Linked DNA regions of Ovis aries. The protein of the gene in region 2 interacts with the protein of the main gene of each other region in a biochemical or structural test. Links are inferred from orthologs where the notes say so. Each region holds a gene or a part of one and is shown on either strand. Other genes may lie near its edges.

The links.
Region 1: the proteins of CSNK2B (region 2) and TNFAIP1 form a complex in vitro, tested with the Homo sapiens proteins (2 studies listed by BioGRID, with this or other methods). The link is inferred for Ovis aries from reciprocal best matches to the Homo sapiens genes CSNK2B and TNFAIP1.

What each region holds. Positions count from the first base shown.
Region 1 is NC_056064.1:19,764,589-19,768,497, reverse strand, and holds the start of TNFAIP1 (BTB/POZ domain-containing adapter for CUL3-mediated RhoA degradation protein 2), read right to left. Parts: upstream 2,491-3,909; 5' UTR 2,368-2,490; exon of another isoform or gene 104-2,367; intron 1-103. UniProt on the Homo sapiens protein: Substrate-specific adapter of a BCR (BTB-CUL3-RBX1) E3 ubiquitin-protein ligase complex involved in regulation of cytoskeleton structure.
Region 2 is NC_056073.1:26,712,937-26,716,800, forward strand, and holds the start of CSNK2B (casein kinase II subunit beta), read right to left. Parts: upstream 3,106-3,864; 5' UTR 2,981-3,105; intron 2,381-2,980; 5' UTR 2,370-2,380; coding exon 2,298-2,369; exon of another isoform or gene 1,581-2,297; coding exon 1,478-1,580; exon of another isoform or gene 970-1,477; coding exon 854-969; exon of another isoform or gene 407-853; coding exon 331-406; exon of another isoform or gene 195-330; coding exon 5-194; exon of another isoform or gene 1-4. UniProt on the Homo sapiens protein: Regulatory subunit of casein kinase II/CK2.

The DNA.
Region 1 (3,909 bases), on a different chromosome or scaffold from region 2:
TGATCTAGATTCTACATGTTTTGGCTATCTAAAGAACTGCTAGAATTCATTCACTGCGAGAAAACAGAAAGCCAACATTCTCTGCATGTTTACTCTGTTCCAGGTACTATTCGCATATATATCATCACTTCATTTAACTCCTTTGTCAATAAAATATTGAGTGCCTACCAAGTTAAGCAGGAAGAAGAGATGAAATGATACTGTCCTTGACTTCAGGAATTCAAAAAAAGTGAATATTCTTGTTCATTAACAAGAATAAAAATAATAAGAGTATTTATCGTGTCCCTGCTTTGTGCCAGGTGCTGGGGATACAGATGAGAACAAAAGAGTCAGTCCCGTGAAGCTAACCTCATAGTGGGAAGACATATACAACAAGAAAATGAAAAAATGAGGCAATTTCAGAAGTGAAAAACGTACTTAATAAGGCGAGTGACTAGGAAGAGGGACTCATTTAGATGGGGAGCCAGGGTAAGGCTCTTTGGGAAGGTGACATTCCAGCTAAGCTCTTAAGAGCATTCCAGACAGATGGAAGAGTAGGTGCAAAGTTCCTTGGTCAGACGCAAGTTTTAGAAGCAGAAATAAGGCCAAGGTGGCTGGTGCAAAGAAAGAAGGGGGAAGATGGCTGGATGTGAAGTCAGGGAAGGCAGCGGCAGATCATATTGAAGAGTTTGGATTTTATATTAATTGCAGTGAAGATCGACTGTAGGGTTTAGAGCAGGGAAGCGATATGATCTAAGATCACCCTGGCTACTGTGTAGAGAATGGACTCTATGAATGCAAGAGAGCAAGTGTGAAGACCAGAAGTCTAGGCAAGAGACGACGAAGGCTTGGACTACAGTGCTGGTAATGGGAGTCAGAAAAAAAGTGAAGTGACCTCACTTCATCATCATAGCATGCTGAAGTTTACATCATTATCTCCTCTAAGTGTAACCCAGAAGTGCACTGGTTTTCCCACATTTACTACTCCACTCTCCAAACAGTGCTTAAGACAATGCCATGCACATTTGTAAGTATTCGTCAATCTGTTAGACTGAACCTGTCCCCGAAAAGATTTAAGTAGGTCCCCGGTGGCGCCAGTGGTAAAGAGTGAAGTGAAAGTGAAGTCGCTCGGTCGTGCCTGACTCTTTGTGACCCCAGGTTGTAGCCTGCACCAACCTCCTCTGTCCATGGGATTTTCAAGGCAAGAGTACTGGAGTGGGTTGCCATTTCCTTCTGCAAACACAGGAAATGCAGGTTCGATCCCTGGATCAGGATCATCCCCTGGAGAAGGAAATGGCAACCTGCTCCAGTGTTCTTGCCCCGGGAAATCCCATGGACAGAGGAGTCTGGGGGGCTACAGCCCCTGCGGTTGCAAAGTTGGACATGACTGAGTGACTGACCGTTCATCCTGGGAAGAATGTCCAAGGAAAGGCCAGGACAGGTGCTGTATGAAGTACTGAACTCCTTTGGTGGTTTGTCCAGTATGGATGAGATGAGCGCCCCGCCCCAGCAGACTGCCCAATCAGTAAGTTAAGCTTGAATGGTATGAGATAACTTTACCAAACTGCCCACCCGGAAGGAATAAATCCACCCCTTAACAGGTTTTAACAAGTTCTCTATGCATTTTGTGTCTAGCCCCAATTTCCCCACGATCAAAGAAAAGGAGCTCACCAAAGGTTAGGCGGCTGCCAACAAAGGAAGACAAATCCAAACTAATCTATTCTTTTCCAACAAAGCAATTGCTTTGAGCCCCTGGATGACGTCAGCTGAGATTCCAGTTGCTCAGATTCCGCCCAGGCCAATAGGTTCCAGGAATCCTGTGGCAGGTGACGCCCCAGAAGGTAATTCCAGTGAAAATGAAGTTTCCACTGAAAGCCTCAGAGCTCTTCCTTCCGGACTTTGTGTGTGGGTATTTGGGGATGCTAGGGGCCTATCTGTGTCACACTAGGCAAAGCGAATGGGAACCTAAGCGGAATAAAGGGCAAACAATCACGGCGGTGTTAGACGGTGGGGTCCTAAGGAAAGAAGGTCCCAGAAATTCGTCACACCAGGGATGGCGAGGGGAGGAGCCGATCTTGGTCAGAGAGGGCGGATCTAGCAGAAAATCCAAAGTGTAATTCTATTGCTACATCCAAAAGGTGTGGGCAAATTTATCCAGACCCAACCTCTCCATGCCAGTGTAGAGTCTTTCCCAATTCATACCCCTCCTCACTATTGAGAAACAGAGACCGGTTCTGACACCCATCCCCAGGGGAGGATTTGAGCTCTCCACCCCCACCCCTCTTTCGCCGTCCCACGCCTTTTCCCCAAGACCGCGTGGGGCTCTCTTTGCTCAGCCCAGGACCCAACCATCCCTTCCCCTAGGACATGGGCCGGCTAGGCTCTCACCCTCCCCGGTGGCGCCTCTCCTCTCAGCTGGATTGCAAGTCGACACCGTGCCGCCCCCGAACTGTGGCCGCTCGAGCTCCAGCAATCCCGGGCCGAAACTCGCATCCTCCACCCAAGGACTCCGCCCCAAGCCGGCGGGAGCCTGAGACGAGAAGGCAGGGCAGGCCCAGCATCCAATCAGGGCGGAGGGAGGGGCCCCTGAGAGTATTTTGCGCTGAGAGCATAGCTACTTCCGGCAGCCTTTCCGGCGCAAAGGCTCTGGGTCTCGTAGGCAGTTATCCTTCCTCTCAGGCCTCTGTTTCCCAGCAGGCCCTGCGGGCTTGATGGGTCTAAGTGCTTCGGGGTCGGGAAGTGACGTTGACGTAAACAGGTTCTGTCGCCGTGGCAGCAGCTGAGGCTGCTGGGCAGGGTGTCGGCGGCAGCCGACTGGAGAGAGGCGCTGACTTCCGACGTTAGCCTGGGTCGCCAGCGCTGTCGCTGCTGGGTGAACAGGTAGGCCGTGACCCCGGGTTGGCGGGCTTGGGGCAAGCCCGGGGTGAGATTAGCCTAACAGGCCCGTGCCCCGAGGAAAAGCAATCGCGGGGCGAAAGAAACGTGGTAATTCCGCCAGGCTCTGGGAGCGGTTTTACCCCCGGCTAGGGCCTGGAGCTTTACGCGCTGCTGCTCCCAACTATCTTAGGAGGAAACCGCGGCTCAGATTAAGTTCAAGGAGTTTACGTAGTGAAGACGCGAGCTCCACACCCAGGTCTTCCTAATTTTCCCCACACCCCACGGGTGGAGCCTGTTCGGAGCGCCCAGCGTGGTTCCGGGGAGACCCCCGGGGTGGGTTTGGAGGAGAACGCGTCACCCTCTCTTACTGGAGCTCAGTCCGGCTCTTGTGTCCGGTGTTCCTCAGATGCGCGTGTGGTGGGAGTTGGGAGAGAATCCGGTAGTCGGCTTTGAACCCTCTCCGCTTCTTCTCCGGTCTGACCCTTCTCATTCAACTATCCCTTCCAGCCGTGCAGCTGGCTCAGGCCAGGTACGCGGGAATCTTGCCTGACTCTTTTTCACTCCTCCCCAAACCCCTGCCTCAGTCATCCTTTGCTAAGTCCTATCAACTGGACTTACAAAACATCTCAAATCGGAACACTTCTTCAGCTCCAAGCCTTGGTTACTGAAATAGCCTGCTCTGTTTTCACAGTCATTCATACCACATACATTTGCTGAGTGCCAGTTTCTGTGTAGGTATCATGTTAGATGCTAGGGTAACAGCAATGAGCAAGATAGTTGTAGCTCCCTCCTCTTTCTTCCTCCAACCCATTCTCTATCCTGGGTCTTGGTGATCTCTCTAAAGGGCAGGTAGTCAGATAGACTATGCCACTCTGCTGAGAATCCACAGGCTGTCCGTTAAACGCTTATGAGAAAATCCAGGCTCGTTACTGCAGCTTTCAGAGCCCTCCGCCATCCAGCACTACCTAGCCTTCCCATCTCACCTCATCCCGTTTCTCTTTATCCCTTGCTCAGCCTTTCAGCCACACTAGCCTCTTGGCTCTTGTTACAGGT
Region 2 (3,864 bases):
CCACCTGGGCACAAACTGGTTGGCGGGCCTCTTGGGCCGGTACTCGGGGTGCACCATGAAGAGCATGTGAGGGAAACCGGTGCCGAAGTAGGCGCCATCCGTGTGGTGGTGCCTCGATGACTTGGGTGTGTACACGTCCATGCACTTGGGGCAGTAGAGCTTCACCATGGCCTCACCTGGGATGTCTGAAAGGCCTGGGAGACAGCCAGACTCAGCAGGCCAGGTTACCCAAGCCTGCCCAACCTCCCTCCTGGACTCAGGCCCCAACCTGCTGAGCCCCAACTCCATCCCAGCCTGCCATGGCCCTCCTTTCCCTTTCCCAACACTCACCGATGGGAAGCATTGGCTGGTTCTCACAGTACACACGGGGACAGTATCCAAAGTCTCCCTGCTGGTACTTTTCCAACTGATGTGAATGAAATTGAAGGAGTTGGTGGGTAGGTATGAAGAAAAGAGGCAACCCCCTCCTCAGCCCAATCCACATCACTGTGTCCCCAACTCCTTCTGCCTCTTAATGTCCAGAGGCCCCTTCTCTGGCTCAGATGGGCCTTCAGACTCCCCTGCTTCCTTTCATCCAGTCAGGCAGTCTGAAGATCATCAGACATTCACTGCTTATTCCCTGAGGAAGAGGCAGTCTACAACTTTCTGCTCTAGGTCACATCTCCCTCCCCCAAAACACTCCCTTCACCTCAACCCTCAATCAGGTCTTAACCCCTAGGCCCAGATTCTGGGGTTCTTTCCCCTCTTCTCAGCTAGATTCCGTGACAAGGCTGAAACGAGTGACTTCTTGCTGATGGAAACTCTGCTTCCCTGTTGCCTCTGAAGGAACCGAGTAGGAGTAGAGAGGCCTCACCATCTGGGCGATGCCACGGTTGGTGAGGATATAGCGGGCGTGGATCAATCCATAGAGCATTTCGGCTGCTTGCTCAATCAGGTCACTCTGGTTGGGGTTGTCTTCCAGCTCCTCATCTGAAACATGGCACCAGCCAAATGCAACCACTTGTCTTACAACTTTTTAAGGTGCCCTGCCTACTCCCAGGGGCTGCTGGCTCTTCAGCCCAGCACCCAACTTGGAGCCTCACCCCACCCACAGCCTGGGCCTCTGCCCCTTCCACCAACCCAAGGGTTTCTTTCCATCCCTCTCAGCCTCTGCTTCCTTCTCTTTTTTAATAAATAAATGCAAAGATGTCAACACAGAAGATAGAACTCTAACCTGGAAGGGGCAAGGAAGAAGATAACACCCATGGAGAAACTAGCATTTTCGATAAGTGCTAAGTTATAGGATCAGAGTATGAGAACAAGTGTAGAAGTCACAAAATTAGGCAAGAGTGAGGTATGGAATCAAAATGAAGTAAAGGATTTGGGGTTAAAAGGGTTAGAGAACCAAAAGGAAATTTAGAAATTCATGAAGCAGATAAACAAGGTGTGAATAGGAAAAAAACAGCACACACACAAAACAACCCTGAGGGTGTCTCACCAGGCTCCAGGTCCAAGATCATGTCTAAAGCTTGTCGATAGTGAGGCACCTGTTCATTGAGTCCAGTGAGATTGAATTTGTCCTGGATATAGTCTTCATCCACCTGTCAGGACGTGAAGTCAAAAGGAAACCCAAAGCAGAATCCTCAGCTTTGACCTGGGCAGGGTGCTCTAACTCGTGCCTTATCTTCAACACAACTGCTTCATTCCCTTTGTTCCACACTCCCAACTCAGCAGAAGTACTTGAACCTCTCTCCCTAGTTCGTGTATACTGCCCACCCAGAAGAGGTCTGGCTTTTTTCTCCTAAACATAAGCAATCCCCTCCTTACAGAGGCAGTCCTTTCAAGATCCCTGTCCTGATTCCTGTTCCTAGCTCTAGGAATCAGTTTTGGCCTCTCCTGAGGGGCAGCTGGCTCTCTGAGGAAGGTGGGGGCTGAACAGCTTGGATTCTGAAGTCAGTTACACTCCCTTATGTTAACACACAGCCATGCTATAAAACATTTTAACGTGAAGTGTTTTAATTCTCCTAATAGCTACCAGAAATACATACTATCAGTACTTCCCTGGTAAAAAAAAAAAAAAAAAAAAAAAACAACACAGGTTGACAAGTCCAACATTAGGCTGTTGGAGGGTGGCAGGGTTGACTTGGGGTCTCAGTCTTGACCCTTCACCACAAGTTAGAGAGCGCTACTAAGGAGACTCCTCCTTGACAAGAGTTTTTACTAAAGTATGTAAGAGAAGTGTGTGGAAGCTTTATGTGCAGGAGATTATGTGGCCAGATTACATGTGGAGGTGGATGGTAGGGTTGAGGAGAACTCACCTCACAGAAGAATTCATTGCCACGGAGCCCACAGAACCAAGAAATCCAGGACACCTCCTCTGAGCTGCTCATCTTCACGTCGGCTAGAGACAGAAGAGTATAAGCCTAAGCTCTCCCTCCCAACCTCTGGTATCCTCACTCCTCCCACACTTTGCCCTCAAACCATGGAAGAATTTGGGGCTACCCTTTTCTTAAAGAACCCGAGACTGGAGCACGTCTCTCTAGCTCCTCTTATTTACATTCCAGCCCCTTTTCACTGAGATTACATAGAGAAATTCTTCGGGGTCCACCAGCTGTGAGAAACCGACAGGTCTTGACCCCACTAGTCCTACCTCCATCCCTGACGCTCCTGAAAGCCAGGCCCCTCTCTCCTCCGTGTCAACTCCGGTAGGGCCGTGGCTCAAGCTCCCTACCCCCGCAAGTCTCTGGCCCCATTCTCAAGGGTTCCGAAGTTTATCCTTTCCAAGCAAGAGCTGGGCCCTCCTTTTCTCATGGCCTATAGGTGGTGGTCAGGTCCGTTTCATAGAAGTCCCGACATCCCGCCTCCACCCTTCGGGCCACCTCTCCTACCCTCGGTGCCGGACCGGGTCATTTCCTTTCCCACCCCCACATCAAGACGCGGAGACCCCATGTGCCGCGCCCAGGGACAGGGGACATGGCGCGGCGACGACCACCACACTCACCGACTGGACGGGGACTGGGACCGGGGGACGGGGAGGGGAAGGGGAGTTTCTGCTTCCAAAGACCGCGACGACGGCTACAACGCAGGCCGCGGACCCGACCGCGGCAGGCGAAGTGGGGTGGGGGGAGTGGAAACTGGGGAGGGTGGGGAAGAGGGCAACGCGCAAGTGCTTAGAGTTAGGAGCCGCGGTGCATGCCGGGAAATGGAGTCCTTGGGAAGAAGAAACTGACGAAACTAGGGAAAAGCGAACTACAAATCCCAGGATGACCCGCGCACGACCCTGGTGTCACGAGGCCCCGGGGGAGGGGTACGCTGGGGGCGGGGCGCAGCAGGGCACTGCGAGCCGCCACCGGAAGCGGAAACTCAGTACCGCGTTCTGGGCCAGGTAGCCTGGGAAATATAGTCGTGTGATTCCGGGGACTGCAGGGCCATGGAGGGGAGGGGGTGGGCCGGGAGAGGAACTAGGCTGGCTGGTTGCTTCTTGCTTCTCCCATCAAACAGCGAGCCTCAGGCCTCGGCGAGACTTTGCTGCCCGGGGCATTGACCTCATCCCCAGCCAGCCAGCCCTCCTGGCCCTTATTGCCTTGCTCCTTGGAGTCAGCCCGCCAAGGAGACCCGCGACGGGGCCCTTGTTTCATCCGGGGTTCGCGCAGCGGAGGCGGGAGGTGAGGCCGGGTTCCATGCTGAGGGTCCTGGGTAGGGTGTACTGGGATGAGCTGAGCGGTGTGAGAACCAGGACGGCCCCGTGGGCTAACCTGAGGTGGTGCCAGCCATTCTGCTGCTTGTCCCCTTGCACTTCTCCATTTCCTCTTAGGGCTTGAACGGGGCTGCTGTGGGCGCTAAATGCGACCTTCGAACCCTGGTCAGAGTAATGGTGAGGGGCTG